Arabidopsis thaliana: one gene and its partner. Each later gene encodes a partner of the first gene's protein in a complex. Each region holds a gene or a part of one and is shown on either strand. Other genes may lie near its edges. The genes, in order: AT1G67930 and EYE.

Region 1 (16,084 bases):
TTGAGATTCTCAGCCAAAACAGCTCCTTTGAGAATGATGATACATCAATTCGCCGATCCAGCTCAGATCCAATTACCGGAAACGTAGCTTCAGAATCACCTAGAGACTACGGGAAACGAAAGAGATCGAAGAAGAAGAAGAAGAAAGTGAACCAAGTCGAGACTATTCTAGAGAATGGAGATTCTCATTCAACGATCATCACCGGTTCAAGTGGTGATTTTGGAGAGACTACAACGATGTTTGAGAACAGATTGAATTACTATGGTGGTGGTGGTAGTGGTAGTAGTGGTGGTGGTTGTGTCGTGACTCTATTAGATGGGCAAACTGTTCATCATAATGGGTTCAATTTTGGTGAGTTAAGGCAGAGGAATGTTAATGGTAGTGTTGATGGGAGTAATGATGAGCGGTGGTCTGATACTTTGAGTTCTGATAAGAAGTTATATATGGAGGAGACTAGTGTGGAGCTAAGCCCTTCTGAGAATCCACCGTTTCAAGAAGTGCAGCATCAGTTTCCAAGAAGTGAGATTAATGGGAATGTGGTTAGGAGATTAGATACAGAAGCTTCTTTGGATTGGAAACAGCTTGTGGCTGATGACCCTGATTGTAAGTTTCAAACTTTTCTACTTTGGATTGGTTTTTGTGGTGGTCTGAGGCTTGGATAATGAATGTTTATGTACAATGATGTTTTGTTATCAGTTCTTTCTGCTGAGACGAGGTCACCTATGAAATACTTTATGGAGGAAATTTATGGTGGGATCTCATTACGGAGCACAACGACTCCTGGGAATGATATCGAGCGCGAAAGAATATATGATACAATCTTCCGTTTGCCATGGCGATGTGAAGTGGTAAAACTGGCTTTCCTCTTCTTTGACAGAATGAACATTTGTTGTTTAGCTAGGTGTGTTATTTGTGTACCTCTGCTGATAAGTTTGTATGGATGGCGATGGAAATCTACCTGTTATGTGATTGTGAAGGGCTACCTAAATGAGAGTTCAATGTATATATATGTATGCTTCTGTTTTGTGATTTACACAGAGGTTTTTCACATTGTAAAGAATTTTAATGCAGCTTATAGATACTGGCTTTTTTGTCTGCGTCAACTCATTTCTGTCATTGTTGACAGTCATGCCAATAAGAGTCCTGCTGATATTTATGGATGCATTTAAGAACAGGTGAGTCTTTTTTAGATTCTTCGTTGATAATAACACACTTAATATATTGCTATAAACTGGACTTTCACACCAAATTGTGCATCTTTGAAGCAAGTGTAACATGCCTTGATCATACTATTCGCTATACACATGATCCTGCTATTCCCTTTGTTAGAAAGTATCTTAATAATATTTGTGGCAGGCAGTTCAGGAGGCCCTCTGCATCGGAGCTGTCTGATCTGGCTTGTTTTCTAGTTTTGGCCACTGGTACCATTCTTCTCGGGAGAACAGGTGTGGTAAAAAGCTCCTCATTTGCTTAAGCTAGTAATATATGTCATGTCTACTCTATCAAAATCTCTGCAGTGGTACATGGGTTGCATAGGGCATTACTTAATCTGTTTATTATTATATGGACAAGCTTAGCACTTCTGTTAAAAAAATGGATTTGTCTTTTCAGCTCATCAAAGTGATGGGAAAATGGATTCTCAAACAGTTCCCTTGTGTGTTTTTGTTTGTTTCCACAGATATCAGCCTAATTTACCACATGATTCGTGGTCAAAGTACCATAAAACTCTATGTGGTTTATAATATCTTAGAGGTAAAGTAAACCCTTTTTAGATAATTTATTTCTGCTATGAATTTTCATGTTCATTTCGCTTTTTCCCTTGTATTTCTTACATGGTTTAGTTGGTTTGTATTTGTCTTTTCGCTGCACACTTTTCTGTCCAGTTTACCTTATTCTCTATTCAACTGGTATTGACACATATATAAATATTATATTCCAGATATTTGATAGACTCTGTCAAAGTTTTTGTGGAGATGTATTTGGAGCCCTATTCAGTTCTGCAAAGGGACTGTCGATTTCTCCTCCTGAGAAACTGAGATTTTCGACTTGGAGATTTGTTTCTGACCTAGCATTAACTATGGCTGCCTCAAATATCCTTACAGCGTGATTGCTAGTTTGATTTCTGATAACTACTTCCAACATCTTTATTCTGTTGTGTCCTTAACTGTCTTCACTTCTCCATTCATTCATTTTATTAGCTCAGGCAATTACGTTGTCAACTTGTATTGTTGCTCACAACAATGCCTTGTTGGCCCTTCTGGTGTCAAATAACTTTGCTGAGATCAAGAGCAGTGTCTTTAAGCGTTTCAGCAAGGACAACATTCATGGTCTAGTATATGCGGGTAAGCTTTTACTCCGTGCCCTTTGTAGAATCTTGTGCCTTGAATACTAGGCCTCCTATGGCTCTGATCATTAGCTTAGTACTTCAAACATTTTCAATCACCTGTCAAAATGGGATCTGAGTTAGACTGTAATTCCAGCTGTTAGCTTTGGTTTTTGATTGGTATGTTTTGTTTCCCTTACTATTTCTCTACCAGATTCAATAGAGAGATTCCACATATCGGCCTTCTTGGTGTCAGTTTTGGCTCAAAATATTCTCGAGTCTGAAGGTGCATGGTTTGGAAATTTCATCTACGTAAGTGTACATAATTCTCTGGTAGATATAAAATTTTGTACAAGCCTCTTTCCAGGTTGCCTAAAAGTAAATATACTTGGACTCTGCAGAATGCTACTACGGTCTTCTTCTGTGAGATGATGATAGACATCATCAAGCATTCATTTCTTGCCAAGTTCAATGACATCAAACCTATAGCGTACTCTGAGTTTCTTCAAGCCCTCTGCGAGCAGGTATGGATCATACAGCCTTTCTCTCTCTCTCTTGTGCTGTTACATTGGCCCTATAAAATGCCATTGCTGCGTCATCTTACATCCATATATCTTTCTCTGGTATTGTCAGACTTTGAACATTCGTCCGGAAGATAGAAAGACAAATCTCACCTTTGTTCCCCTTGCACCTGCTTGTGTGGTATATTCCTCCTCTTCCCTTTTGACCTAAAAACTCAATTGTGATAAGTAAAAAAAGAAGAAGCTTGGAATGATTTTGAGTGTATATTTTGGGACCTCAGGTGATCCGAGTACTGACACCAGTATACGCAGCACACTTGCCATACAGTCCACTCCCATGGAGAATGTTGTGGATGGTCATCTTATTCGTCATAACATATATAATGCTCACAAGCCTCAAAGTTCTCATCGGCATGGGACTGAGAAAACATGCAACTTGGTATATTAATCGATGCCGAAGAAGAAACTCCTCCCATCTCCACAATGATTAGGCTGAAGATCATCTTTTGTGATCTTATTATACGTGTTTAAATATTCGATGAAGCGATTTTTGTTGTGGTTAGGCATATATACATATGTACAAAGAAAGAGACCTCATGGATCATTTGGCAAAAAGCCATCACAAGACAAAGAATAGCTATTACTCTTTTTGTTCTCTTCTTCTTTTTGTTTTGTTCATAGGACAATACAATAATAGGAACTTCACAATTTCGTTCACATGACCCATATTCTCTTGACTCGTGAGGTTGAAATGTAAATCACTTTAAAATTAAAAACGTACCTTGTCAGTTTTGAGACTCAAAAGGACTTGAAATATTGAAATCCCTATTCTTTACGCGTACTCGAGATTTTTCGCTCTTGAGAGAATCACTTCGACAATGTCGGTAACGGTAAGCATTCTCGATTCTCGGCCATTTTTGCTGGTGTGTTCTTAGATTCGGCTTTGCTTTTAGATATTTTTTGCTATTTTTAGATCTAATCAGAAAGGAGTTACATGCTACGATTTTGTGGATAAAACCACTGTTCTCTTGTTCTGTGATGAAGTCTGAGATCTCTCTTTACTGTGTCGGTGTTATTAAAAAAAAAACAGAACTTTTTTTGTTTCTCGAGTTTTTTTTTTTTGAATCCAGATTCTGTTCCACAGATGCTAATTTCAATCATAGTATCAATCTCAATTGAAAGTTTCTGGCTTTGGATGAATTAATTCAAAATAAATTTGAGTATTGATGATCTCTCCACAGGCTGCTTTCATTGATTCGGATCAAACTCAGCACAACATTCTTATGGATTCCCAATCAACTGTCTCCGGTGTAAGCAACCAACATTTCTCAAACTTTCATCTTCGCTGTGTTATGGGATTATCTTTGTATTGTTGTTGTAAAGCTGTCTGTTCAAAGGCTTTGTATTGATTCATTGTTGTGCAGGTGAAAACTGTCAAGATTAGCAATGTTTCACTAATTGTTTCTAAGAAAGATGTCAAAGAGTTCTTTTCTTTCTCTGGTGACATTCAATACGTCGAGATGCGAAGGTATGAAAAATAACTTGTTGTAAATTATCATCTTCTTGTTAAAGATGATCTTTACCAATATCTCTAATGTTTACTCTAATGATCTCAGTGAGACACAAGAGAGTCAGGTCGCATATGTTACTTTTAAGGATTCACAAGGAGCTGAAACTGCAATGCTCTTAACGGTATTTTGCTTTCCGCGTATGCATCATTCCGTATATTTCATGAATTAGTGCTTACAGCGAAAAACATTTCCTTCCAGGGAGCTGTCATTGCAGATCTTCGTGTTAGTATAACTCCTGCTGTTAACTATCAGCTACCACCAGAAGCCCTTGCACTTGACTCGGTAAAGACCGGAAACTCTTTGATTTATTCGTTACTCTCTCGGTGTTCATGTTGTTTCCTCTGTGTAGCAGGAACATTCGTTTAATGGTTTTTCTGTCAAGAAAGCTGAAGATGTGGTGAACATCATGGTGGGAAGAGGTTATGCTCTTGGAAAAGACGCCATGGAGAAAGCCAAAGCATTTGATGACAGACACAACTTGATCTCAAACGCTTCTGCAACCATTGCATCGCTTGACGATAAGATGGGTCTGAGCGAAAAGCTAAGCATAGGAACAACTGTGGTTAATGAGAAGTTGAGAGATATCGATGAGCGATATCAGGTGAGGGAGATAACGAAATCTGCTTTAGCAGCTGCTGAAGAGACAGCAATCAGTGCAAGAACGGCTTTAATGGCAAACCCTTATGTATCAAGTGGAGCTTCGTGGTTTTCAAACGCGTTTGGCGCAGTGACAAAGGCGGTTAAAGAGAAAGTTGAGAATGGAGGAGAAGGAAGAAAGGAGATCATCACACTTGATCCCTCTTCACCCAAAGTTCCTGCTGTAGTTCCTGTTAAGCTCGGTTGATGCAGATCTCATCAAACCAATCGGATCTCGACTAAATTCTTTGATAGGTTTGTTGTTCATATATATGCTTTCGTATGCTAAAGAGAAGATAAAAAGACATAAACCATGAAAGGTGTTGTTACATTCAACCAGCATTTGTTCCTCTCTTGAAAGAGATTATTAAGATTCAAGCAAAATAGCAAATAACTTGCAGGAACCATCAATGAGAAAATGGTCTCAAGAACTGAGTTGAAGAAACCTCTGTGCCATTGGATGCGTAGCGTGCGAAAGCTCACTTGGTTTAAGAACTTCAACAATCTCTCCGTCGACAACAAGGCAAACGATATCAGCAACTTTCTGAATCTGCTTGATACTGTGAGAAACAATCACAGTAGTAATCCCTCTCTGCTTCTTCAGTTTCACTATAACATCCTCAATGTTCTCTGTCGATATCGGATCAAGAGCACTTGTTGGTTCATCGAGCAGCAACACCTCAGGCTCGTTGGCTAGAGTCCTTGCAAGTGCTACTCGTTGAGCTTGACCCACAGATAACTCTGCACCAGTCTTCTTAGCAAAGGAAGCATCAAGGTCTGCAAGACTTAGCAGCTTATAAACCTCTTCGTCACTTAGTTTCTCCCCTCTCAAATTCGGACCATATCTCACATTATCCGCAACAGTCCCTGTAACCAACCACACATTATCAAGACCTATGAAACTAGAGGCTAAGCAAATCCCAAAATTTGATTATTACCTTGAAAAAGAACAGGAAGCTGAAAAAGCATTCCAACTCTACGACGAAGAGCAATAACATCAACGTTGGTTATATCTTCACCGTCCAAGAACACAGTTGACTCCGGTGGTTCCCAAAGACGATTCAGAGATCTCAAAAACGTTGACTTTCCACTTCCACTAGGTCCAATCACACCAACGATCATACCTTTTGGTATATCTATCGTAACTCCTTTCAAGATCCGAGATCCATCATCGGCGACTCGGGTCAGATCATGTACCCGAATCTTTGGTTCTGAACCAGACACAACAACATCCACAAGATGCTCTCGTAATGATCCATCGGATTCGTTAGACCAAAGTGATGGCATGGCTTTAAAGTTTTCAACTTTTTTTGATCAAAACACTCACTTAACGAAAAGATTTGTGTCCGTATATGAACAATAAGAATCAGTCAATTGATATTGACAATTTATTATTCTTACACCACTTAGTGGCCAACTTTTAGGACCAATCTCTGACATTTACATAATTTATGACATCACGAGATTTAGAGGAGGAATTGTTTTTTTTTTTTTTCACATCCAGATACAAATTCCCTACATGACTACATCTATCACTTGACTATGCCAGAAATGATAATTCCGGTTCGTAGATAACCAACAAAATTCAGACACAGAAATTAAAGTAGACCGGTTCACTATCGTATAACTTCGCTTTGAGTTTTTTTTTTTTTTTTTTGGTGTTTCAGAGATTAACTTTGAAAAATGAGTATCGCTTTGATCTCCTGCTAAAATCGCCATTGCAAAATTCAAAACCTGTAGAGATTGAAACTGTAAAAAAATGGCACTACCTCCATCGTCTCCTTCACCATCATCTCCATCTCTTCAACGTCTCTCCACCTTCAAAAACCCTCCTCCTTCTTCACTCTCCTCCGGCGCACCACCACCACAAACACCGTCATCTTCCTCTTCTTCGCCGCTCGATTCTTTTGCCACCGATCCAATCCTCTCCCCATTCCTCTCATCTTCCTTCTCCTCCGCATCATTCTCCTCCGCCGCTCTCGCTTCTGGATCTCCGGCCTCCACCGCCGAACGTCTCCACCAAGCAATCCGCCTCCTCGATTCACAGCTCCGTAATGACGTCATCTCTCGTCACCCTGAATTGCTCGCTCAGCTCTCTTCTCTCTCACACGCCGATGTATCTCTCTCTTCTCTCCGATCCTCCGTCTCTTCACTCCAATCTTCAATTCGCCGTGTCAGATCCGACCTCTCTGAACCGATCAAATCGATCCGATCTAAATCTGTTCAGCTATCTAATCTCCATACAGCTACTGAGTTACTATCTCACTCCGTTCGTACGCTTCGTCTCTCTAAGAAGCTTCGAGATCTAGCGGATTTTCCTGATCCAGATAAGATCGATCTCACTAAAGCTGCACAGTTCCATTTCGAGATCTTAACAATGTGTAAAGAGTATGATCTCTTTGGCATTGATGTGATTGATGAGGAAATCAAGTTTGTTACTGAGATTGGAGAGAAATTGAGATCTGAAGCTATGAAGGTGTTGGAGAGAGGCATGGAAGGGTTGAATCAAGCTGAAGTTGGGACTGGTTTGCAAGTTTTCTATAACCTTGGAGAGCTTAAGTCTACGGTGGATCAATTGGTGAATAAGTATAAGGGAATGGCTGTGAAGAGTGTGAGTGTTGCTATGGATATGAAAGCTATTACTTCTGGCTCAGGTGGTGGCTTCGGGCCTGGTGGGATTAGGTCTAGCGGATCACCGCATATTGGTGGTGGTGCTAAAGTTAGGGAGGCGTTGTGGCAGAGGATGGCTAGTTGTATGGAACAGTTGTGTTCACTTGTAGTTGCTGTGTGGCATTTGCAGCGTGTACTGTCTAAGAAGAGGGATCCATTTACTCATGTCCTTCTTCTTGACGAAGTCATCAAGGTGCGGAATTTAACTGGAATTTTAGGCTCCCTGAGTTTGTTTATTCGTTAGTTAAAGATATTGTCAATGTCCTGAGGAATAAGCTGCATTAGATCATTGAGAGGATCAGAGTTTCTTGTCACTTTTAGCGAGCTCGATGATGTTTGAACAATTTAAGTAGATGATCCTTCAATGTTTTTGCATCAAAAGGAAGTTTTGGGATGGGTTTCTGTGGTGTCAGGGCTGTTGATTAGTTTAGATTCCAACTTTTTAATTGGTTTTATTGCTTACATGAAGTGTTTATATGCACAGGAAGGCGATTCTATGTTAACCGATAGAGTCTGGGATGCACTTGTGAAGGCTTTTACTAGCCAAATGAAGTCTGCATACACAGCTTCGAGTTTTGTAAAAGAAATATTCACCATGGGATATCCGAAGCTTGTGTCTATGATAGAAAATCTTCTTGAAAGGATTTCTCGTGATACAGATGTTAAAGGAGTGTTACCTGCCATTAATTTAGAAAGGAAAGAACAAATGGTTGCATGCATTGCTATATTCCAGACTGCTTTCTTATCCCTATGCTTTGGCCGCTTGTCAGACCTTGTAAACTCGATATTCCCTATGTCGAGCCGTGGGAGTTTACCTTCGAAAGAACAGATTTCACAGGTATTATCACACATTCAAGATGAGATTGAGGCTGTTCATCCAGATGCTCGTTTGACTCTTCTAGTTTTGCGTGAGATAGGCAAGGCCCTTAGTAACCTAGCTCAACGAGCTGAGTGCCAGGTATGATAGACCTCTTGTTGGTTATTGTCCTCTTGTTATGTGCGATAGCTCCCTTAGTATGGTATCAATTTGTGCTTGTATTATATAGAAATTCTTAAAGTTGCATACAGTTGTATAGGAGAGATTGAGTACAAAGTAATAATTCGTGGGGCAATTATAATTTCTTCCAGACAGAAATGAAGAGAATTAGAGCTACATCTACCTCTACTATGCAAATATATACGTGTTAACTACCTGACATAATTAGAGTTAACAGTGTAAAGAAGTTATTCTGCTACTTATGCGTTTATGTTTGAAATGTAACACAGCTACACTTATATTGCAGATTTCTACAGGCCCTGAGACGCGGCAGATATCAGGTCCTGCGACTTCAACACAGATCAGGAACTTCACATTATGTCAGCATCTGCAAGGAATCCACACACATATCTCATCCATGGTAGCGGACCTTCCCAGTATTGCTACTGATGTATTGTCTCCTTATCTGGCTGCAATCTATGATGCGGCATGTGAGCCAGTTACACCTTTGTTTAAAGCAATGCGAGACAAGCTCGAGTCATGCATTCTTCAAATCCATGATCAAAACTTTGGTGCTGATGACGCTGACATGGACAACAACGCTTCCTCATACATGGAGGAGTTGCAGAGATCGATTCTTCACTTCCGCAAGGAGTTCCTATCTAGACTATTGCCTTCCGCAGCAAATGCTAACACTGCAGGAACAGAATCGATCTGCACAAGACTCACAAGACAAATGGCGTCAAGGGTTTTGATCTTCTACATCAGACATGCATCCCTTGTGCGACCACTTTCAGAATGGGGAAAACTCAGAATGGCCAAAGACATGGCCGAGCTGGAACTAGCAGTGGGACAGAATCTATTTCCCGTGGAACAACTCGGAGCACCGTACAGAGCTCTTAGAGCGTTTAGGCCTTTGGTTTTCCTGGAAACATCTCAAATGGGATCATCTCCTCTCATCAATGATCTACCACCGAGCATCGTCCTACATCATCTCTACACAAGAGGCCCAGACGAGTTAGAGTCACCGATGCAGAAGAACAGACTAAGTCCTAAACAGTACTCACTGTGGCTTGATAACCAAAGAGAGGATCAGATCTGGAAAGGGATAAAAGCAACTTTGGATGATTATGCAGTGAAGATCAGATCGAGAGGGGACAAAGAGTTTAGTCCAGTTTATCCTCTAATGCTTCAAATTGGTTCATCTTTAACACAAGAAAACTTATAAGCTGTGCTTTGTTACCGAATCAATATTCTTCTATTGCGAACTTTTTTGTCTCATGGATTTTTCATTCAGTTGTAGTTACTATATCTCTCACATACATATCATGTAAATCGAGATTCATACATCATCATACTATGCAAAGAGAGGAGACGTATTCATTTTCAAACGAAAGAGTATTTATATAGCATAATATATACAACAAAACCTGTTAACTATTAGGAACCACATAACCACCTCTACCTCTTTTTTTTTATCTATCTCTCTCGACTATAAAGTCAAACATGGATCAATTCCCAACGGAAATAGATCTCTCCCCTAAACCAAGAGGAGAACGTGAACGTTGACGCCTTTTGATCTCGCTAAGAACCCTCCTCATCTCCGGTTGCTGCAGCGACGGTTGTCTTATCTTCTCAAACTCTTTCTTTATCTTCTCAACTTGGCTATGTATTATTGGACCATCCTCGTTTCCATTATCGGTCTTGTTCTCCATCTCTACACAAACACGAGACCAAAGACACTGAAACAAAGAGACCCTTTATAACAAGAGACGACACGAGTTTTGTGTGTGAAGTAGAACCGAAGTTAGGTTGGTGCGCAACGCCGAATTAGTCTCAACTCTAAATATAAACAGCTAAAGAGTTTTTTTTTCTTTTTCAGATCATATATTATACAAAGAGACGACTCTCTCTATATTTATCTATCTCTCATTTTATAAACAAACGTGGAGGACGGTGTTCGGTGAGTTTTGGTTACGTGTCGGTAACGTTGAAACATTTGTGACGAGTCGCTTACGTTTATCTTTCGATTTGACCTTTTGTTTAATAAGATTTTTACTGGAAATTGGAGAAATCGTCGGTTTTTGACCGTTGAGAGACCAAAAGGCTGCCATGTGGATGGACTTAAGTCGCTAGTCAACTAGAAGATTCTAGTGGATATCCTTTTGAAACATTTCCTTTAATCAGTCGTTAATCGTTATTCAAACACATTTGACACTCGTGTGTTCTTTGTTTCGGCCTTAAAGCTTACACGTTATGTCTTTTTGGTTTTCTCGGTTCTTGTCCCAGTTTTTGGCCCAATGGCCCTATAGGAGGTGCTAAGTTCCAATTCAATATGTCTGACTTATATCAAACAGCTACGACGACTTTTATATAATCACAATTCTATTACCATTAAAATATGAAAATTACTAAATCTAGCACATCATTGTATCTTATAAATAGGGGTGTCAATTACGACCAAAAGTCTATAGATCGATCATAAACTCTTTCACTATAAGATAGCTTAGAGCTATAGTTTACATGACCTTAATGGGTCATATATATATGGTCGGTACCTTACATACATGAGATTCTTTTACCGAACAACTTTAATTATGATGCTTAATTTGCCACATCAACATCTAAGTTTTGCAAAAATTTATGATATTCTTCTATCCAACTAGACTCCAGTACCTTAGTAAATTAGTTATACAGAGTCTCTATGCGTTTTAGTTATTATGTGTCCTTTTTTCCTACGTAATTATAGGTTCAAAGAGTTTCTGTACGGAATTAGCTAATTCGTTTAGGTCACATGGTTTACGTATTGCAAATTCTATGATTGTTCTAAGAACTCTTAAATCTTATAAGAATTCAATCTAGGGATCCATACGATTCATGATCCGACCCCGTCCTACCACTACCACCGGTTTAGAAACACCGCTAAAGAGTAAAGACAATAATGGAAGGGGACCACTCAATGATGGGCTTTTGGGATAAGAAACATTATGGGAAAATAATGGATACAGTTGGCTTTTGATGTAGTGCATCCGTGATGATCCCCAAAAAAAATAGGGTAGAGGATAATATAAATTTGCAAGAAGAGGGATTTAGAAAAGTGTATCAACCTCTTTTGGATCTCTTCAGCTTCAACTTTGATCATCCATACAGAGGTATGTCCATGACTCTTGATTACCATTGATACGTACATTAGTTATTTACGTTCCTTATCTAATAACTTTTCTATTTCATCATTTATAGTAAAATATGAAATTCATCATATTAATTTTGCAAAACTCATTGAGTTTTCTCCGTCTTTCACAAATAGATCTCACTTTTATTTCTACGAAAACGTAAAAGCAAAGTACTATAAGAAAGATAAAATTTTAAAAAATGAAAATGAAATTTTTTTTATTTTTTGTGTGTGGAGACATCTATATTCTAAGTAAAGAGGAAATCTTAGTGCAATAACTAACATAAAACTAATATGTATGGCATGTTTTTTTTAAGTACTTGCATAGCTAGTAGTTCTTTTTCAGTTCATGGTAGTTAATTCACCTCATTAAGGAAAAATTTATTTTGGTGAAGACCTTCGTAAATGCTTTCTAATCCTTCAACTCATTATAATGGTCATGGCTTGTAAATGAAAACCAGGAAATGGAGAAGGTGCAACAAATGACAAACAACAAAGGAATCATGAAGGTTGAAATTCATAGCCATTTCAATTCTGCGGTGGAAGTGGGTTCCCGTGGGCTATCTCGTCAGACAAGCATGACCAAGACCAACTGCCTTTGCTCACCAACCACTCACCCTGGTTCTTTCCGGTGTAGGATTCACCGTTCTCTTTCGTTGCAACGTACCAAGAGTATCGAGGCTGCATCTCTATTGGATTCTCCACCAAAGCCAGCGGATTCCCCTAGTACCGCTACATAGATTCATGCATGAATCCATGACATTACCAATGTTTGTTGTAACTTGTAATTTGATCATTATATGGAGGAGTAGGCTTTTATTTTCCAACAATACGCATGAATTTACGCGTTAATCAATGGCATTACAATTGTTCATATGAAAACATGATCCGATAACATATTAGAAGTACATTAATGAGTAGAGTGAAGTGGAATCTTACTTGTAACTATATATACGATTAATATGAAAGATGCCCTTTGGAAATATCTTAGAGATCGTTGTCAAAATTATATTTTAGAGCTCTAATTAATTAGATCAAAATCTTTAGTCAACATGGTCCCAAACTATATATTAAAAGGTTATTGACTATGTATATCTTGGTCTCTTAAGTCATCTCAAAGGGCAGATGATTATCAAATTAATGAGAGACAATTACAAAATAGACATGGCTTGGTGCTAGATTGGCAAATCAATCAAAGTACTCATGAGTCATGACTCCATTCAAAAGACTACAAAGCGCAAACAACTTTAGAATGCTTGTAATTTGTTTTTCAAAAAGTGATAAAGAAATAGTCTATTGATTGAGAGAGAAACAATGATGGATGTGTTATAAAATGTGGAAGAGGCAATGTATATATAGATAATTCTCGTTGGTAGTTTTCTCACGAAGCGCCCATGTGTCTCTTTAATTTGAGCGGTGCTATTTTTTTCACCTTTTTTTATGGAATGTGAAAACACCATATAATTATAATGAAGTCGAATTGTAAATTTTGGCTGATTATCTCTAATATGCCAAAATAGACTAATATTTTCTCATATTCAAAACTTTTGAATCCAACACTTAATCTAAGTTTTTACCAAAGATAACTATATATTTTTTTGTCAACAACATGGATTATACTAGTTTGAATCTAGATGGTATATATACGGTGACATAGCAACGACAGTAATATTACCTCTATTTTACGATTTGTTGGAAAACTAGAAACTTGTAAACTTTTTTTTAAGAAAAGTCAAGTTTCAACAAGGTGAAATAGGGACAGAGTAGGTAAGACTTATACAAGAATGATTTGATGTTAGGAATTGTTGTTAAACATAATTGGAAGTTAGTAGAAAAACTTGAAAACTTGTTTAGTGAGAAAGAGACCACGTGATAGGTGACATTATTATAGAAAGGAATCATGATATGTAAACTTAATTATGCATCAAATCCAAGTTTGTTAAGATATCATGTCTACAAATTAAATGCAAAATAAATAAAAAGATAAAATATATAGATACGTAAAACTCTTTCCTAGTGATTTAATGAGCATGATCTTGATTTGGGTATTTATTAAATCGATATATGAATACGACCAATCATAACAAGGAATAAATTGGGATATATACTAATCAAAACCAGTAGCAGCCAACAGAGACAGAGAAGAAGATTTGACTTTACTCTTTACAAATTTAAAGAATAATCAAAGTTCTTCTAACAAAACAAATCCTCAGGGTCATTTTCTTTGACCTTCTGGATCTCAAACACGTGTCTCATGAATCTAAATATGATTCTAAACAATATTATTATCATCTTAGAGATTTTTAGATGAAGTTATACAGAGAGTAAATAGGTTTAAACATTTTTCTTTCTTTTACTCTACGATACCTAAATAACAATTTTGTTTTAACAGTTTTTGTCGCTTGAGTTTCTGTTGATGGACAAGAGCTTGCTAAACATCTTCTTAGGACGGCCAGGGATTGCACAAAAAGCCTTAAACCGAGACGGAGTTCTTCCTCCGTCCCCATTCATGAACCTTTCGTCTACCTCTTCATCTTCAGCTAGCTTGCTTCTCAGTGTACCTGATAGCTTTGATTTAGGTGATTTGAGACCCGAGACGCTCCATCGATCTTCTGGTGCAGCGATACTTGTTGTCGTGCTGAAAGCGGCTGCATTTGGATTAGAAGGGTCGATGTTGTGTGCTGCTAGGAGTGCTTTGATGTTGCTAGGAAGTTCAGTCGTGTTCTTTTCACCGTTGTTCGTAGCTGCAGCGGCTCGTGCTTGCTCGTAAAAGAGGACTTGGACCACTACTCTAAGCGGAAGCATCTCGTTTTGCGCTGCGTGCATACATGCTTCCATTGATAGTTTCTTGCAGTCCAATACTCTACAAACTCTCTTCCTTTCTGATTTATTCAAATTCTTATGAGCCTACAACAACAATGTCAAAACATAAATTAGATAAGTCGCAAAGATTAATATTCATTTAGTCTAAACAAGGATGAGAATTGAACCTTGAGATATATGTCAATGGCTCTATAGAGATCATCATGATCAAGTCTTGAAAATTCAGGGACACTTTCAGCTAAAGTAACAAACTTTGAGAGCGGTAAATTCACATCTCTAGCAATCTGTTGAAGATATCCATCCACAAGCTTAGCTACCTTAAGCTTTGAGCTATGAGAAGCAGAGGATGATCTTCTACTTTCTTGAAACTCAAGATCAATATTCTCCGCCGAACGAGATCTTCTTCTTCTATCCATCATTCCCTTTTTACCTCTTAAAGGACTTGTTGGTGGACTAGTCTGTCCTTGGACCATAAACTGTTCCAAGATAGTCGCGACAATGTCCACATCGTATAACAATTCGGATTTGTATGACATTGGAGGTATTAACAAGTCGCTAACCGTTGCTTCTTCTAGTTGAAGAGCTACCCTTCTTGCTAATTCCATCTTAGAAGACGTTGATGCGTTTAAGATATTGGCTGCTTTCAAGAGTTTAAGCAAGAAACTGCAAGAAACCGCGCCTTTCTCAGCTGGAAGCAAGCTTATAATGGACTCCAACAACAATCTATGCTTCGATGAAGTATCGGTATCCGAATCTGAGTCAGAATCCTCTTTCTTTTTGACTACTTTCCGGTTTCTTTGTAAAGTAGGAAGCCATTTAGAGGCGTAAACTCTAAGAGCATCACCGATAAGACTAGCGGGTACTTTGCCACCGGATTTAATAGCAATCATAGTCCTCCAATAAAGATCTATCCCCAACTCCGCGATATCTTCAGCCCACCATCCTCTACTCGAAGCAGCAGCTCTGTTAGAAGACATGTCATCATCCCTAACCCTCCTAGAATGACTATGTGAGAGAGACACTTTGGATGGATGAGATAAAACCTTAGAGGCTATGGCCTCAATGCACCTACTAGTGATAGCGAGATCTTCAGACCACAAAGGAAACGCTTTCGTGGTCTGAAGTGTGACTATGGAGTCTCTCCATCCATTAAGGATGCAAGAATTGAAGAAAACTTCAAGCTTGTACACCAAGTTACCTTTCTCAACCTCCTCTGACATCTGAAGATACTCTGCTGCACATCTCGCTGCTACGATGTTATACGCGCTGATAGTTATCGTTATTCCGTAGCAGAATTTGGCACAGAGCTCAAAGGCCTCCACTCCTCCTGGAAACTCTGGAAGTTGGATGATGGATTCTGGAGATTCAGAGCACATTCTTTGAAGCCTCAAG
Region 2 (17,000 bases), on another chromosome or scaffold:
CCCAACATCTGGACCAAGAATGTTCCCTCAGAATGTCTTTCCTCTGTTCCAAGAAGCCATGAAACCTGCAAATTCAAGCTAAAGAAACCGGTATAGAGTAGACAGCAGGACCCAGCTTTAAGGAAACGGTTCAGCAATTGAGAAGATCTATTGGATCAATAACAATACATTCTGCTTTTTGTTTTATTGTAAAATTACACGTTCTTATACAAATGGAGGTAGCATCAGTCCTCAGACGTGCATTCCCATAGACTGGTTACCAGCTCCAGAGAATAAAGCCTCCAACATCAGACTGAACAATGCAACTAAATGAGCTTTATTTATCCCACAAGAGCAATGAACAAAATCTACTCTAGAGCCTCTTACTCTTGCAAAGTCTGTTGCAAGAATGCCTCCTATTTACAGCAGACAACGCTTCTAAATGTGTGGTGGTGAGTCAAACTTAAAAGACAAGGATGTTTCCTGATGCGTCTATCTTATCGAATGGAACTGCTAATTACTTTTAGGCAAACCAATTTTCACATCTGGAGAAGATTGTTCACTGTAACAGAAACAGAATTTGTTCTTTGCAGGTCCTGAAAGAAGATTGAATCAATCATCACTTCAATACCCAGCGTGTGCAAACAAATGACAACAAATGGCCATTAAACTCAGAAAAATTGAGCCCATTAATTTCTTAATGAAAATTTTGCTTCACAAATTCATATATACAAATGTTTTCCTTTCATTTGATGCAGGAAACTAACTAAATATCCTAGCAATTCAACCCAGCAAGTAGCTTGCTTGTCAAAGCAGACACATACCAATAAATGCATCTAATATTTACCTGAAAAATTATTTCATCAGGCACATGTGGGAGGACTTCCCTTACTGTCTCGGCCATTGCTAGTATACTCGCCATGTTATTTGCTGCACGGGAGACAGTTCTTAGATGCAGACCACCTGTTCTTCCTCCAGCACCAGGAGGAACATATGTAGATGAAGTCGATGCTTGCGAAGGATTCATTGGCCAGAGACCCCAAGAAGCATCGTCAAGTGTAGTCTGAGCAGAACCTTCCCCTACAGATGCAAGATGCCTCATCATCAATTGAACCTGCCCCAGCCCAACGGATCTGGAGCCTGCAGAGGAACCCACAACATCAACACCCTGATCTGACCATGTTTGCAGCCAGCTTGGATCCACCTCTGAATTCCTATATGGCATGAGAAAAAGGTGAGAACTGCTAATCCCGTTTAAGAAAGCCAGTCTTTAAAAAGAAAATCAATGGGGGCACAAGCTTGGTCCTCACAAAACCAACAATTACTTGCTACCCAAAAGAACCAAGTATAATTAGACAAAATTAGAGAATGCATAGTATTTTAGCTCAGGGATAGGAAACCACAGGAAGTTGATGATCTTGTTATGAACACACTGTTACTTTAATGCACTTAAGAAGAAAACATATGGAACAATGAACCCAACCTCCAAGGATCACTTTCGGTGAAATTTGGCGTCTCAGTTGGAAACATTCCAGTGGTTAGTGCATGCACAGAATTGTTTTGTCTCTCAAATTGACGGGCTAAGTGTTCATCGCTTGAGACTTCTCCTCTGCTAGGATTCGCCTCACTTTCAGTTCTACCAACAAAAAGAGGCTTACGGCAAGTAGGACAAGAGTAAACCTCATTTAAACCTTGATCCAACCTGCCAGAGTCAAAATATCATTATGATTTACAGTTCTCACAGAACCGCAATAGCACAAGGCTGCCAACATAACAGAGCTAGCATACCATGATCGTAGGCAGCCAAGATGAAAAAGGTGGTTGCAGTGAAGTCTTTTAGCCTTAGCCATTGGTTCCTATCATTCATAATGGTTCCAAGATTAGTGAGCTACTAAAAAAAGTAAGGAGACCAATAACTATCAAGCAGAAACTTACCCGACATATAGCACATTCGTCATCATAATCCCGTAGCTCTTCTGAAGTTGCATCAAGAAGAGCTGCATGAAGAGCACCTAAAGCTACTCTCAGTTTGATGTATCCTTTTATTCGTTTCAAAATTGAACTTAGCAAGGCCTGTCAAAATCAAACGGGAACACACAAAGAACTTAACAATTAGGTATGTGCCTATTAAGAAACCAGTAGAGTGGCACTTTTACAAAGAAAGTCAATTAACAGACTTACACGTATGTTGAGAAACAAAACTGCATCCACCAGATGGAAGGCCATTCCATGGAGCCACCAGATGTGCAAATAATGACCGAGGGCCATTACCAAGGTAGCCATGTCTAGGAAGAAACCAAGATTTCGGTTGAGGAGGCCTTTCCATTCCAATAACGAGCCTATTCAATGGGTAAGAGGTCAAGTTAGTAATGTGAACACCAAACAGGACAAAAAATTTCAAATAATGCACGCCTGCAGTCTAACAGAAAACATAATTACAATCATATGCCGAGAAAAAGACAAAACCTGCTGTCATGGAATCATAAAACTTTGATCTCTGGCAATCTGAATTCTTGACTGCTAAGTGGTTGATCCACATATCAAGCAGTTGAAACCCGTGAATCAACAACGCCTGAAAAAAATGATCCATTATGCGATTGATCAACCCTCTATATTTCTAGGTACGGTTACAAAGAAGGGTAACATAAACAATGAATACAACTATCTTACTCAAGTACCTGCAAGGTCTCAAAAGCTATACCGCATGGCTCAAAAAGTAACAGTAAATAGACAGACGAACCAACTGTATTGTATATCATAAGGGAAAGCTTTATCCTGCAAGATTCGACAAAATTAACATCCAGAGACGAACAAGTTCATTCTTCAATCACTAGAACAGAATATGATAATCCAGAGGGTCTGGTGTATGAATTAAAAACTCCCTATTTTCTCCTCATTGAACTGCAGTATAATAAATACGGGAACTCTAGAACACAATATTTTCTCCGCTCACTACAGCATATGCACCCTCAGAACATACTAAAGCCTCTGTTTTATCTTAGCAGAAAATTACACTGCTTTCACTAGAACTATATGCATCATGAAAGTCATGTGCACCATTCAGAGACTTAGGGTTAATTTGTTTTGTCTCCTCTGATATACAACTATACTTTATTTTATTTTAAGAATATATATCTGGTTCCAGAGACAGAAACTAGGAGGAAAACTTTACACTCATATTTTGAAATAGAAGAAGGAAAATAGTGCACTCATATTAAAAAAAAAAAAGGGGTTGAAAAAGCCGCAACTCAAAATTTCACATGATACCAAAGAGTTAAGGAAATACCAGCACAAATCAGTAGAGAGAACCATGAACAGTGCTGAATACACACGAAAGTATGTCCAAGGAGTCGAAGAAGGAGATGCATTCAATCGATCAAGCCGATCTCTAGCCAAAGCTTGAAACATCTACACAACATTTTACTACACATTAGGGTGTCTAGAAAAAAAAATCAGCACTTCCTGATCATAAATCAAGAAAGCCAATTATGCAACCTGTATACCATACCTTTAGAGTACACAGAACAGTCAACCAGATTGTCCATAGGACCCCCTGAAATACTGTTCGTGGAACCACGAATGGCAGAAAAGTGCCCTAAAAACAGGAGTAACCAAGAAGGTTATTAACATGAAAATGGCACACATCTGCAAATAACTTAATTTTATGCAAACAGATCAGATATCCAATCGAATAATGTGGTAGAAATATATGCTCATGTACCATTAATGCTTGTCATTTTAAGTAGGATTTCGTCTTCATCCTTTTTTGCAATATATTCAGTAAAGGAGATAATAGAATATCCCAGATATCATAAAACTATATAAGTGACAGAAATTGTGGGTTGGTTTCCGTTGCACCCTACTGTCTTTCATCAAAGTACAAAAAACTACCTTGTAAATGATGTAATTGGCAAGCCTTTCCACCAGTTTTCTAGTTTCAATGGCATATAGATCTCCAAAAAACAGAGTCTGCAGGGAATATTAAGAGTTATCAGATCCTCACACAATGATTGAAAGACATTTCCCAAAACAGCTAGTCTATTATTACCCTACAAGTATGTGCAGACCCTTAAGGCAACAAATAGCATGGTATTTGGTTTCACGGAAGCCTTATAACTATCGAAAACCAAGAGTTTTTAAATCCTTCAGGTCAGAAATACTTGGTTCTTACACCACAACTCTTAACCCGCAGGTGCAAACTTATAATTCATGTATTTTCTAATAGCCAAACTACGAGCTTTACATTGAATTCCATCTAAAGGAAAGAACCATTCAAAAGATGTATATCTATTCTACGTAAGAATAAAGCTAGCCGACGAATATTGCTTAAACTTAACCTCGGAAGTAAAAGACCACTCTTACCTTGAGAGAAAGAACAAGAAGAATGTAGATATTGAGAACAAAACTTGCCAGCAATGCAATTGTAGTGTGAGAACTCAGAAGAAGCTCAAGGGTATTCTCAGAATTCCCTAAAGAAATGTTCTTGGTGATTATCCCATCAGCTCTAAGTCTATCAAGAGACAACTCCGTCCAGACTTGTAAACCCACAAAGCTCAAAGCTGTTGTTGCCACGGAAATGTGCAAATATGTTATCCCCATTAGAAACTATTATAGCCTTCTCACTCCGAATTAACCCACAGATTCTCATTTAGCATGACGTCCCCTGCATCAACATGATTTTGCATAAGCTAAGCAAACCAAAAGCTTATGTAAGTTAGAGAATTGAGTTAAAAAGTTTCAATTTTTTTATAACGTAGGCCAATCGAAGCAAGTAAAATTCAAAACCATGATCACGAAGTTCATAGGATACTGCAATTGAGAGAGATATGTATTAAATAAGTAAAATTGAAGAAACTGGGAAATTCAATTAACCAAAGGAGAGAGATGAGCTGAAAGATTGAGGTCAATAGAAGAAAATATGAAGATAATGGTGGATTCTGCAGAGAGCGAAATGGATCAAAACCTGAGTTCGCGATTGGAAAATTCTCCTCAGCACCGGCAATTGCGTCCTCTTTTTGTCTCTCTTTCTCGATGGACAAGGAAAAATGAAGAATATAAAATGCGGAAGAAAAAAACTCAAAATAATAAACCATGCGGTAAATAAAAAGTTACTTAAATTTGACGATGCCGACACGAACGAGTTCTATGGTCACCGAAGTGGTTCCAAAGAAGTAAAGCTATAAAGAGCGCGCTTTGCCAAACAGAGGTGAAAAAAAAACGGTAGCAAAATTCTCTAATAGTCTTGTCCCACAACCTTCTTCTGGTTGCTGAGACCTATATCAACATTTCCAGCACATTCAAAATCAGTTACTTGGTATCAATTTGATGTATCATCCCCTTATAAAACCGAGTTTGAACATCGAGAATGAGCATCGAATGTATCGTTGATCATGGCTCTGTCCAGCATGTTTGATAACACCACCATAGTCCATAGGTATAATGATAGAAAATCGTCCTAGCAGACTCTTTTTCTCCATAAATAATATCCAAATAACTTCAACTATATCATAGTTGCTACGATATTCATATCCAGAATCCGATATCAAGAATTTGGGAAACAAAATCCGAACCTATGATATGAAAGTAGTCAAACGTACATAGATCATTGATGTAACGAAAAAAGTCAAAATCCCGAACACATAGGACCGTGGGAAATGTCATTCTCCTTGATTCACCAAAGGACACCTTAAAGTTCACAAATTCACTCACTTACTTCCATTCCATCTCAAACAATCCAAAATAAAACACTCTAGTCAACGTTTATGTGACGAATATTGTTACGCTCATCCTCTTTAATCTTTGGAATCACCACTTTCAACACACCATTCTTCATTTCCGCCTTAATCTCATCAGTCTTGTATACTTTCTCCGGTAACTCAATCCTACTCGTAAACCTCCGTCCATCTCCAGAAACATCTTCTCCCTCCTCTGTTTCCCCTTCTCCTCTAATCACCAATGTGTTCTGTTCCAAAGCCAATTTCACATCCTCTCTGCTTAGTCCCGGCATATCTATCCTTAGATGCAACGCGTCGTCTTTCTCTTTCACGTTCCAACCACGTCTAACTCCAGAAGCTCCCATTCCACGAGTAGCTGATACCAAAGGGATTTCGCTTACCTGGTCCATGAAATTCAGCATCTGGCTCAAGCTTCTCGTTGGAGTAAACGGATCGAGTATATCTGTTTGAAAAAACAACCAAATTTTCAGATTCAACAGATCTCCAAAACAAAGTTAGATGTACTCTATACATAAATCACTAAACATGTATCAAATTGGGAAAATCTATAGCGAAATTGGACGGAGGAACCATGGATTTACGTGAGAAGAAATCGCCGCCGTGGCGAGAAACATGTCGGTTTGAGTGATGGTTCCTATCGACACCGTCTTCATAGTTTCTGGCGGCGTTGGTATTGAAGAGGCGAGATGAAGCAGCCACCGGACGAACGGCTCTTAAGGCGCGAGGGACGGCGACGGTGGAAGAAGAGAGAAGTCTCCTGAGAGCTAAAGCCGATGATGACGCCATTTTTGGAAAGAGAAGAAGCTTAGAATTAGCAAGTGATTAATTATTTTCAAGCTCGATGAGATATTTTTTATACTCTTTGAACGAAAAAAAAGCTGTTAGAGAAAGGTTTATATAGAACAGAGAGTAGAAGAAGCTGCTAGAGGCTAGAGAGTCGCTTAAGGATGGTTCTAGAACTGCGTGGTCTCCAAGTAAAATAAAGAAAAATAAAGAAAAAGAAAGAAGAAAACTTTTTCCGTGACGGCCCATCACTTTGGGGCCCAGATTTGTAAATTTATCTTCCGTTTACTTTGGTTTGGTTTTAAAGTCGAATTTGAAAGTCGGTTTAGATCGATTTGGTTTAGTTTCTTCTTCAGTGTATCTGCGAAATCAGAGGATCTTCTTCTCTTCAACATCATCATCGTCGAAGCTGAAGAGAATCTAAGGTAAATCGGGTGATCGGATCAAGGATGATGCTGGATCTAGGTCCATTCTCAGATGAGAAGTTCGATGCGAAGCGATGGGTTAACTCGTCGTGCCAGGCGCGTCACCCACAGGATTCACTCGAGAAACATCTTGTGGATCTGGAAATGAAGCTTCAGATTGCCTCCGAGGAGATCGGAGCTTCTCTTGAAGAGCAGAGCGGTGGTGCTCTCCTCCGTGTTCCTCGTGCCACACGAGACGTGTTGCGTCTCCGTGATGATGCTGTGTCTCTGCGTGGTTCTGTTGCTGGAATCCTCCAGAAGCTCAAGAAGGTACGCATTTGTGCTGATTCCTGAGATTTTGTTTGGATCTCTTCTCGAAAATTAGATTATATCAAATTCCTGAAACTTGTGCTCTTATCGAATTCGGTACTCTGCAGGCAGAGGGTTCTTCAGCAGATTGTATAGCTGCGCTTGCTAGAGTGGACAATGTCAAACAGAGAATGGAGGCTGCCTACAAAACACTACAGGTTAGTATTCATAGTGATTTTGTGATCCATTATGTGGACACTTGGGGGTAGATCTGCAATTGATTCTCTTCTTTTTGGTATATGTACAGGATGCTGCAGGGTTAACTCAGTTAAGCTCGACGGTTGAGGATGTATTTGCTAGTGGCGATCTTCCTCGTGCTGCAGAAACTCTTGCTAGCATGCGAAATTGCCTGTCTGCTGTTGGAGAGGTAGTTTTATGTCAGCTTCAGTACTCTGAGGATTTAAGTCTTTTTCCGTCACCACTTAAAGTCCAATTTTTGTCAACAGGTTGCAGAATTTGCTAATGTGAGAAAGCAACTAGAGGTATTGGAAGATAGGCTGGAGGCGATGGTGCAGCCACGTCTTACTGATGCATTAACATATCACAAGGTTGGAACCTGTATATCTAGAGAACCCAACTACTTTAGGTTGTAATGTCTCTGTTGCCATTATTGGACTGAAAAGCCTTTCCCCAAATTTGGCAGGTTGATGTCGCCCAAGATTTGCGAGTAATTCTCATCCGGATTGGGAGATTCAAGTCTCTGGAGTTGCAATATTCAAAAGTCCGTCTAAAGCCGATTAAACAACTCTGGGAAGATTTTGACACAAAGCAAAGGGCAAACAAGCTTGCCAATGAGAGAAGTGAAAGTCAAAGGTTGTCTAGCGGCGATGAGTTTCAGTCGACATCATCTCAGACATCATTTGCCAGTTGGCTGACAAGCTTTTACGACGAGTTGCTACTCTATCTTGAGCAAGAGTGGAAATGGTAAATGTTTTACTTTTATTTACAGTAAACTGTATATATTTTCCGGGCCCTTCCAGTGACAGTATGTCAGATCTTTAGGTGATTGCAGCTTTAAGTATCAATCACTGTTGTACGTTTTTGCTTTCATGATTGTTTAGGTGTATGGTTGCCTTCCCTGATGACTACATGACTCTCGTCCCAAAGCTGTTGGTTGAGACCATGGGAGTACTGGGGGCTAGTTTTGTTTCTCGTCTTAACCTTGCAACTGGAGATGCTGTTCCTGAAACAAAAGCACTCGCCAAAGGTTAGATATGATGTCAGTACAGTTTGATTATTAGGTTTCCTTCTTAGTCTAGTCTTTTTACCCAGCTGAATTGGGATTGCGTTGCTTCTTTAGTGGTTCTACTCTACCATCCTCATGTTTGGGTAGATAGATGTAAGAAGAGTATCACTTTTTTCTGCCTTTACATGAGCTAAAGTTTTTGGCTGTTCTTGTTAAGTTTGTAATTTTTGTGCATAGTGGCCGATGTCATGAATCTGTCAATATGCAAGAGAGACTTGCAGGAAGTTTGAACAACAACTTATTTGTTACATTTTTCATTTAGTCACTGGAAATTTTCCAGACAATGCACGATTATCTTCAATTGACTTATATCTGTATTTTGTGTATTTAGGAGAATACTGACAATTCTGATGTTTTCCTTGAACAGGTGTGATGGATCTATTATCTGGAGACTTGCCCAAGGGTATTAATATTCAGACCAAGCATCTTGAGGCTCTGATTGAACTGCACAACGTAACTGGTTCCTTTGCAAGAAATATTCAGCACCTGTTTGCGGAATCTGAACTTAGGATCTTAATAGATACGCTGAAGGCCGTGTACTCACCCTTTGAATCGTTTAAGCAAAAGTAAGTTTTCATGTTGTGTACTTCTCTTCCCCCATGTCTTGTATCCATTTCTAGTATTTATGGATTGTCCCATTTTTTTGATGAAACTTTTTTGGGTCGTGGTTCTTCAAGGCTGTTTGTGACATAAGGTTTGATCATGCTTTAGGTATGGGAAGATGGAACGTGCTATTTTATCCTCTGAGATTGCAGTGGTGGATCTGAGAGGGGCTGTTACTCGTGGTGTTGGGGCTCAAGGAATTGAACTCAGTGAAACAGTGCGTAGGATGGAAGAGTCTATTCCCCAAGTTGTTGTTCTTCTTGAAGCTGCAGTTGAAAGGTGTATTGGCTTTACTGGAGGGTCAGAGGCAGACGAGCTGATACTTGCATTAGATGACATAATGTTGCAGTATATCTCTATGCTTCAAGAAACACTCAAATCTTTGAGAGTTGTGTGTGGAGTGGATGGTACAGGTGATGGAGTTGGCTCAAAGAAAGATGCAAGTGCAGAGAAAAGGGAGAGCTCTCGCAAGATGGATTTGACTTCAAATGAGGAATGGTCCATTGTTCAAGGAGCACTTCAAATTCTTACTGTAGCTGATTGTCTCACGAGCAGGTCTTCTGTCTTTGAAGCCTCTTTGAGAGCAACTCTAGCTAGACTAAACTCCAGCTTGTCTATTTCATTATTTGGCACAAATTTGGATCACAACCTATCACATTTGAAAAGTGAACAAACTGCTGGAGATTTGTCTATGGCTGGACGAGCTTCCATGGATGTGGCAGCTATTCGGTTGGTTGATGTTCCGGAGAAGGCTCACAAACTATTAAACCTATTGGAGCAGGTAGTGAAAACCTGTAGGCTTGATTTACAAAGTTTCTGAATTAACTATTTGATATTTCATGCGTATCGATTCCCTTTTCCCTTTGATTTTTTGCAGTCCAAAGATCCACGATTCCACGCACTGCCTTTGGCGTCTCAGAGAGTTGCTGCATTTGCCGACACAGTCAATGAACTTGTCTATGACGTCCTTATATCAAAAGTCAGGCAACGTCTAGGGGAAGTATCTCGCCTACCAATCTGGTCTTCCGTCGAGGAACAAACTGCTTTTCCTCTACCAAATTTCAGCTCATACCCGCAGTCTTATGTTACAAGTGTTGGAGAATATCTCCTTACTTTGCCGCAGCAGCTTGAGCCTCTAGCTGAAGGCATCTCAACCAACGGCGATTCAAACAACGAGGATGCACAATTCTTTGCAACCGAATGGATGTTCAAGGTAAGTCTAATTTAAGCTTTTGTCAAACCGAATCGCAATAAGCTAAGACCTTAACCACTAAGTGTTTTTTTTTTAATAAAACAACAGGTAGCAGAAGGAGCAACCGCTCTGTACATGGACCAATTGAGAGGAATCCAATACATTTCAGACCGAGGAGCACAACAACTCTCTGTAGATATTGAGTACTTGAGCAATGTGCTTTCGGCTCTGTCCATGCCAATTCCGCCAGTTCTTGCAACTTTTCAGACGTGTTTGGCTACACCGAGAGGTGAGCTCAAAGATGTGATGAAATCAGAAGCTGGTAATGAACTCGACTGCCCTACAGCTAATCTTGTTTGTAAGATGCGTCGTATCAGTTTCGATTAGTCTCAAATCTACTTGGGTTTCGATAAGACTTTGCTAACAAATCGGCTCGTCCATTGTCATATTGTATTACAGCATTGTCTAATGTTTTAGTTACGTAGTTTTTTCGTGTTTTTTATTGTTTAGAAAATAGTTTGTTACTTAAATAAAATGTACTCGTGACAAGCCGTTTTAGTTAAGACCAAATCATAGATGAAATGGCTTCCACTAACATTGCGTGAGAGGAAGAGGCAAAACTGGTTCCTTGGTCCGAATCTTCTAACAATGTGTAGCTGTCATAACAAAGTCAAGAAAGACAAAAAAAAAAAAAGATCGGATAGATGGAGGAAGAACTCAAGAACTTGATCAAGGTTTCGGTTTCTGTAATAATCTCCATATCTTACTGTTACTACGTACCAACCAGAATCAAACCTGGTATCTTTAGATTTCTCTCTGTTCTTCCAATTTGTGCTCTGTTTCGTGTTCTTCCTCTGTTTTTCGCCTCTGTTCACCTCTCTGGTTACACAGCGCTTTTCATCTCATGGCTCGCCAATTTCAAACTCATACTCTTCTCCTTCAATCAAGGCCCACTTTTTCCACTTCCCTCAAATCTCACCCGATTCATCTGCTTCGCTTGCTTCCCCATCAAGCTTCAACAAAACCCTAAGCGCCGAGACTATTTCTTCCAATGGGAATACCCCATTGAAGTTTTGTTTAGTAACCAATTCGTGACTAAAGTTGTAATCTTGAGTGTAGTGTTACATATGTATAATCACATACAACATATATATCCCATTGTGCTATTTGTTCTCTATCCACTCCATCTATACTTGGTACTTGAGATTCTCTTAAAGCTCTTCAACGCTTTCTTCTCTATAGCTCTTGATTGCGAACTCGAGCCACAGCTGAATGAACCATACTTGGCCTATTCTCTTCGAGACTTCTGGGGTCACTGGTGGACACTCATGCTCCCGACGATCCTCCTGCCAGACGTCTACGCTAGGATGCGGCGAATCACTGAAGGGAAAATGAACTCCGAGAATGCTCTGTACTTGGGAGTTTTTGTCACATTCCTTGTCTCCGGTGCACTTCACGAGTTTCTCTTCTTCTATATAACTCGTGAGCGGCCTACTGGAGAGGTTACTCTGTTCTTCGTGTTACATGGGGTTTGCATTGTGGCGTACGACGCCAGGTTAAAGAAGAAGATTGCGCGGTGGATAGGGTTTGAATTTTGCCCGTGTTTGATATTACAAGTGATGGTTATGGGGTTTGTCGTTGTGACTGCTGGTTGGTTGTTTTTCCCTCCTCTTGTCAGGACCGGCAAGATTCAGAGATTCGCTAACGAAGCCTTGCTCTTCATTGGTTTCGTGCGCAACTTGTTTAACGAATCCTTGTTCTTCATGCGTAAGTTTTTTAACGAAGCCTTGTTCTTCACTGGTTTCGTCATGCGCAAGTTGTTTAACGGAGCCTTGTTTTTCATTGGTTTCGTCAAGCTCAAGTTGTTTAACGAATCCTCCTTGTTCTTCATCATGCGCAAGTTGTTTAACGAAGCCATGTTCTTCATTGGTTTCGTCATACGCAAGTTGTTTAACGAAGCCATGTTCTTCATTGGTTTCGTCAAGCTCAAGTTGTTTACTTTTGGCTGGTGATAAATTGCTAAATCATGATATAAGGGATTTAAGTGTTTCTGTAGCTCGATTATCATATCATCTCTCTCTGTTTCAAAACAATTGTGGCTTTACAATTTCAATGTGATTTATTTATTTATATAAGTTTACTAGTTTACCCTTGAATGGTAAAAAGATTTCTTATTTTGTGTGAGATGCAAAACGAAGGCTCTAAATGGCCTTTGAATTCAGCTGAATTCAACGGTAAAGGTAAGCATCTCACCTTCTACAATATGAAAAGCAAAGATAATAAGCCCTTCTTACAATCTAGGGATGTGTTAAAAAACCAGAGATGAACAAGGCTTCGTTAAACAACTCGCGCATGATGAAGAACAAGGATTCACTATGTTATCGCGTCAAGGTTCTTGCTGCTACTGTATGATTTATGTGTCACAAAGCTTAAACATGTTTTTTTTTTTTTTGCTAATATCATTTTTATTTGGAATGCATGTTCTCTTTTGGTGTATGCAACTATGTAAAGAACACATCAAAATACTCATTGGTCCTTGCTAAAGGTTTAGAGACGTTCCAATGGCTCTTTGTTTTAGGGAATGCAAGGTGATCACGTATACATATGTGAAATAAGAGTTAAAACGAGTAATGTATCTTGTTCTTGTTTTCACACAAATACTAAGTCATTGGAACAGAGCATTCTCCGTACGTCTTTAGTACATTTAATTAAGGGTTTGTTTGACAAGTCTTTAGTACATTGATTTTTCTAGCTAGTAAAGTCTATACGATTATGGAAACGTTTTGAAGTCACTATAATATTCAAAACAAAACGTTCCCATAGTCACAAAGTTTAGGACGGGTGATGATTAGTAGGCATGTCCATTTTAAGACGGGTTGAATTTCGTGAACTTTTATTCCGAAGTCAATTCTTAGCCAAACTAGTTAACTTTTACGCGTTTCAAAATCAACCTTTATCCAAATTAGTGATAGTTTGAAAAGTGAATTTAACTACAAATGTTTTATGAATTCATTTTGTAACCTATCTTCAGTCAAATTAGTGAATATTTATTTATTTTGCCAAAGTCAACTCTTAGCTTAATTAATGAATACTTGAAAAGTAAATTTGGCTACATTTTCATACAATTTTTTTATGGCTACATGAATTTAACCCAATCTGAATTCCATCTCGTAACATGAAATTTTCATTTCGTTATGGCCATTAATGGTGACATAGACCGCACCCAAAACCGTACCGCAACAGTGCTGTAACAGTATCAAAATCTTTACATATACATATGTATCTATATATTTTCGTTACTATTTGAACCGCACCGCACTTCTCCTGCACCGCAAAACGCAGCCACCATTCAAATCAATAGGTATCAAAAATAATTCAGGTTGTGTTTTTTACTATTCGGATTGCCCGTTTCTGATTTTTATTCGCTAGTATCTGTTCTAATATCTGAAATAAATGTATTTAGCGATCAATATTTTTCTTTCCCCTATAATATAAATCAATATTTTTGTTTTCTAAAATAATAAAACTTAAATTTGTGATTGCCTTATGTCTATGAATTTATTAAAAATTTAATTTCGTTAAGTGTTTTGTTTTTTCGTGATATTATTTTTTAGTTCAACTTTTTCTTGATATGATTATTCATTATTTATATAGGGAATAGAGTTTTTTATTTTTTATTTTGCAATCATAGAGTTTTACCATAGACGAACGCCTTTTATTCGTCGTGGCGAACGAAACCCTAATCATCACTTCTCCACTTTTGTTCGTCATCCTCTTCAAAATTTCTTCAATTTGATTCTGCAATTTCCTTTATCTCTCTCTGGATTAAGTTTCAATTTCTTCTTAGCCCGCCATGGATGCTCAGCGAGCTCTGTTGGACGAACTAATGGGCGCAGGTGAGAATAATCGAGTACCAAAATCTATTTTCAATTTAATCCTCGAAATTGAGCTCTCCAAAGCTTTAATTTCTGTATCCATGTTAAGAATTGAGCGAATTTTTGTTGAAATTGCTCTCGATTTTGTTTGCAGCTCGTAATCTGACAGACGAAGAGAGAAGAGGGTTCAAGGAGGTTAAGTGGGACGATAGAGAAGTATGTGCATTCTATATGGTTCGATTTTGTCCTCATGACCTCTTTGTTAACACGAAAAGCGATCTTGGTTAGTCTCACTATTTGTATCTACTTGCTTTTTTGTATGATGCTTTTCTTTAGCTTATCTTAAGCTTCATTGTTGTTTTCAGGAGCATGCTCGAGAATTCATGATCCAAAGTTGAAAGAAAGGTTACGCTTTATTGAGATCTTCTTCATTATATTTATTTGATTTGTTACAAATCTGAATCGATTCGTGTGAGATGTGGCTATCTTGCATGTTTATCTGTAGAGGTTAAGACTAAGCTTACCTTAGAATGTCATTTTACGCATTTATGTGAATGAGTTTTGATTATTTCTGTTTCAGCTTCGAGAACTCTCCGAGGCATGATTCCTATGTGCCTAAATTCGAGGCTGAGCTTGCACAGTTTTGCGAGAAGTTGGTGTGTAATGCTTGTCATACTTTTTTTTTTCTTTTCTTTAGAGTTTGATTCTTCTCTATGCTAAGATTTGGAATTGGTTACAGGTGAATGATCTTGATAGGAAAGTTAGGCGTGGGCGAGAACGTCTTGCACAAGAAGTTGAACCGGTTCCACCACCTTCTCTATCAGCAGAGAAAGCTGAACAATTGTCTGTCTTGGAGGAGAAAGTTAAGAACCTTTTGGAACAAGTGGAAGCACTTGGTGAAGAAGGCAAAGTGGATGAAGCTGAAGCGCTAATGAGGAAGGTACTATTTGTTTACCATTCTCTAAAAAAAGAAGACTTTTGAAGTCTTAACAAATCATACTGAAACTTGAAATATGGTGTTCTGCTTGATTCCTCCGTATTTGCAGTTATACCTTATGTGTCACCTTTATTATGATCATAAATTTAGTACATTGAGTGCTTATCATTTGGAAACTCTGGTAGGTGGAAGGGCTAAATGCTGAGAAGACAGTGTTGTTACAACGACCAACTGACAAGGTACTCGCGATGGCTCAGGAGAAGAAGATGGCATTGTGTGAGGTTTGTGGTTCATTTCTTGTGGCTAATGATGCAGTAGAAAGAACACAGTCTCATGTCACTGGAAAGCAACATGTTGGCTATGGCTTGGTTCGGGATTTTATTGCTGAACAAAAAGTAAGTCTCAGAACTAATACTTGAATCTTGTTTCATTTGAGCTGTCATTCCTTATAAAATGGGGATAGTGATGCTTTGTTTACTTTTTCTATTCTAGGCTGCTAAAGATAAAGGAAAGGAAGAAGAAAGACTAGTAAGAGGAAAAGAAGCAGATGATAAGAGGAAACCAAGGGAGAAGGAAAGCGAGAGTAAGAGGAGTGGTTCTAGTGATAGAGAAAGATATCGTGATCGAGACCGAAACAGAGATGGTGACAGACACAGAGACCGTGGTAGAGATTATAGAAAGCCTTATGACAGGAGATCGAGGAGTGGGAGAGAGGACCGAGATCGAAGCAGGTCACGATCTCCTCATGGAAGGTCTGGTCACAGAAGGGTGTCGAGAAGCCCCATTCGCCAATACTAGTTTGAGACCCTCGTGGAAGGTCTGGTCACGAAAGGGTGTTGAGAAGCACCATTTGCCAGTACTAGTTTGAGATAAGGTGTTGTCACTATGTCTTGGGGCCAGGAACTTTGCAAATTAATGAGGTAGACAATGTGATACCCCCTTTGGTTTCATAAGCATGTGTTGTCTTTTGGAACTTCCTTGTTAAAATTTATGGATAAAATTTGTCTTTCTACCGGATCACAGCTATTCTAAGAGTTTGAGACCTTACCGATTCTCCTTCATCGGTTATTTGTTAAGAGGTCAAAAGCGTTGAGGTAGGTATTACCCGTAAAACTTTTACATTTTCATTGTATTTCTCGATACTTGAGATGCTATAGCGTCATTTTATTTTATTTTTGTCTTTTGGTACACCATTTCAAGTTTGATATACCTTTCTGATTTAAAGAATACAGAATCGGGATTGTTGGGATCGAATGACACGAATCTATTTGAGGTAACAAATATACAACAGAAGTCATCCTTAATAGAAGTTTTGGGTTTTGAATTTGGTTTATTTTCTTCGAGTTCTCTGTCTGCACTTAGGTGTATACACAGAAGGAATGATAATCTTTGGCTTTGGGGTTAGGTATAACTGTTGCATTTCTTGGAATCTAGCCTTCAATGGATTGGTCTGCATGATATCTGATTTCTATCGGGTAAACTCACTCCGTTGTTTATGAACTTTTAATAATCTTTTCCAAACTCCAAGGCTAGAGCATTATAGTAAAACAGTAGGTAAGGTATTCTCTGGTGGGAGCAAGAACTGTTTTGGTGGTCTGTGTTGAGGTTCCAAGAACAGCTGTGTTGTTGGTCTACCACAAAGCCGGATGGCGTCTTTGTAATCCTGGCTTAAATCCTGATCTAAACATTTACAACTTTGTCTTTTTTTTTTTTTTTTTTTTTGCCGATTTCTCCTCTACAGTCTATTTGATTCAAACAAGAGCTCAGCATATGAAACCATTGTTTCGGGGCTCCTGGTTTGCAGCTATAGATAAGCTTCTTTTATATGGCAAACTTGTAAGAATGACGCAACATTTGTCAAAATAAAAGTTGTTGAT

The links.
Region 2: AT1G67930 (region 1) and EYE share a complex: the UniProt entries of both Arabidopsis thaliana proteins name them as parts of the conserved oligomeric Golgi complex.

What each region holds. Positions count from the first base shown.
Region 1 is NC_003070.9:25,468,059-25,484,142, reverse strand, and holds AT1G67930 (Golgi transport complex protein-like protein), read left to right. Parts: upstream 1-6,597; 5' UTR 6,598-6,810; coding exon 6,811-7,914; intron 7,915-8,205; coding exon 8,206-8,679; intron 8,680-9,004; coding exon 9,005-9,925; 3' UTR 9,926-10,003; downstream 10,004-16,084. Other genes in the region: POD1 (POLLEN DEFECTIVE IN GUIDANCE-like protein), read left to right, coding at 1-603, 697-848, 1,072-1,175, 1,357-1,445, 1,679-1,752, 1,940-2,090, 2,175-2,342, 2,538-2,635 and 3 more; AT1G67950 (RNA-binding (RRM/RBD/RNP motifs) family protein), read left to right, coding at 4,071-4,154, 4,269-4,372, 4,461-4,536, 4,614-4,697, 4,768-5,259; ABCI17 (non-intrinsic ABC protein 3), read right to left, coding at 5,476-5,918, 5,990-6,338; AT1G67920 (uncharacterized protein), read right to left, coding at 10,209-10,412; AT1G67910 (uncharacterized protein), read left to right, coding at 12,334-12,609; AT1G67900 (Phototropic-responsive NPH3 family protein), read right to left, coding at 14,255-14,776, 14,860-16,084. UniProt on the Arabidopsis thaliana protein: Required for normal Golgi function.
Region 2 is NC_003076.8:20,880,742-20,897,741, reverse strand, and holds EYE (conserved oligomeric Golgi complex component-related / COG complex component-like protein), read left to right. Parts: upstream 1-6,734; 5' UTR 6,735-6,946; coding exon 6,947-7,231; intron 7,232-7,338; coding exon 7,339-7,428; intron 7,429-7,517; coding exon 7,518-7,637; intron 7,638-7,716; coding exon 7,717-7,818; intron 7,819-7,913; coding exon 7,914-8,194; intron 8,195-8,331; coding exon 8,332-8,477; intron 8,478-8,883; coding exon 8,884-9,082; intron 9,083-9,227; coding exon 9,228-9,900; intron 9,901-9,996; coding exon 9,997-10,332; intron 10,333-10,419; coding exon 10,420-10,698; 3' UTR 10,699-10,997; downstream 10,998-17,000. Other genes in the region: RIN3 (RPM1 interacting protein 3), read right to left, coding at 519-575, 827-1,247, 1,463-1,681, 1,768-1,835, 1,915-2,052, 2,161-2,318, 2,446-2,551, 2,658-2,754 and 4 more; AT5G51440 (HSP20-like chaperones superfamily protein), read right to left, coding at 5,729-6,156, 6,296-6,500; AT5G51420 (long-chain-alcohol O-fatty-acyltransferase family protein / wax synthase family protein), read left to right, coding at 11,016-12,323; AT5G51410 (LUC7 N terminus domain-containing protein), read left to right, coding at 14,165-14,207, 14,341-14,469, 14,552-14,591, 14,767-14,842, 14,926-15,126, 15,309-15,518, 15,616-15,921. UniProt on the Arabidopsis thaliana protein: Required for normal Golgi function. Necessary for embryo development and pigmentation, especially for the expansion of cells and organs, and for the formation of the organized shoot apical meristem (SAM).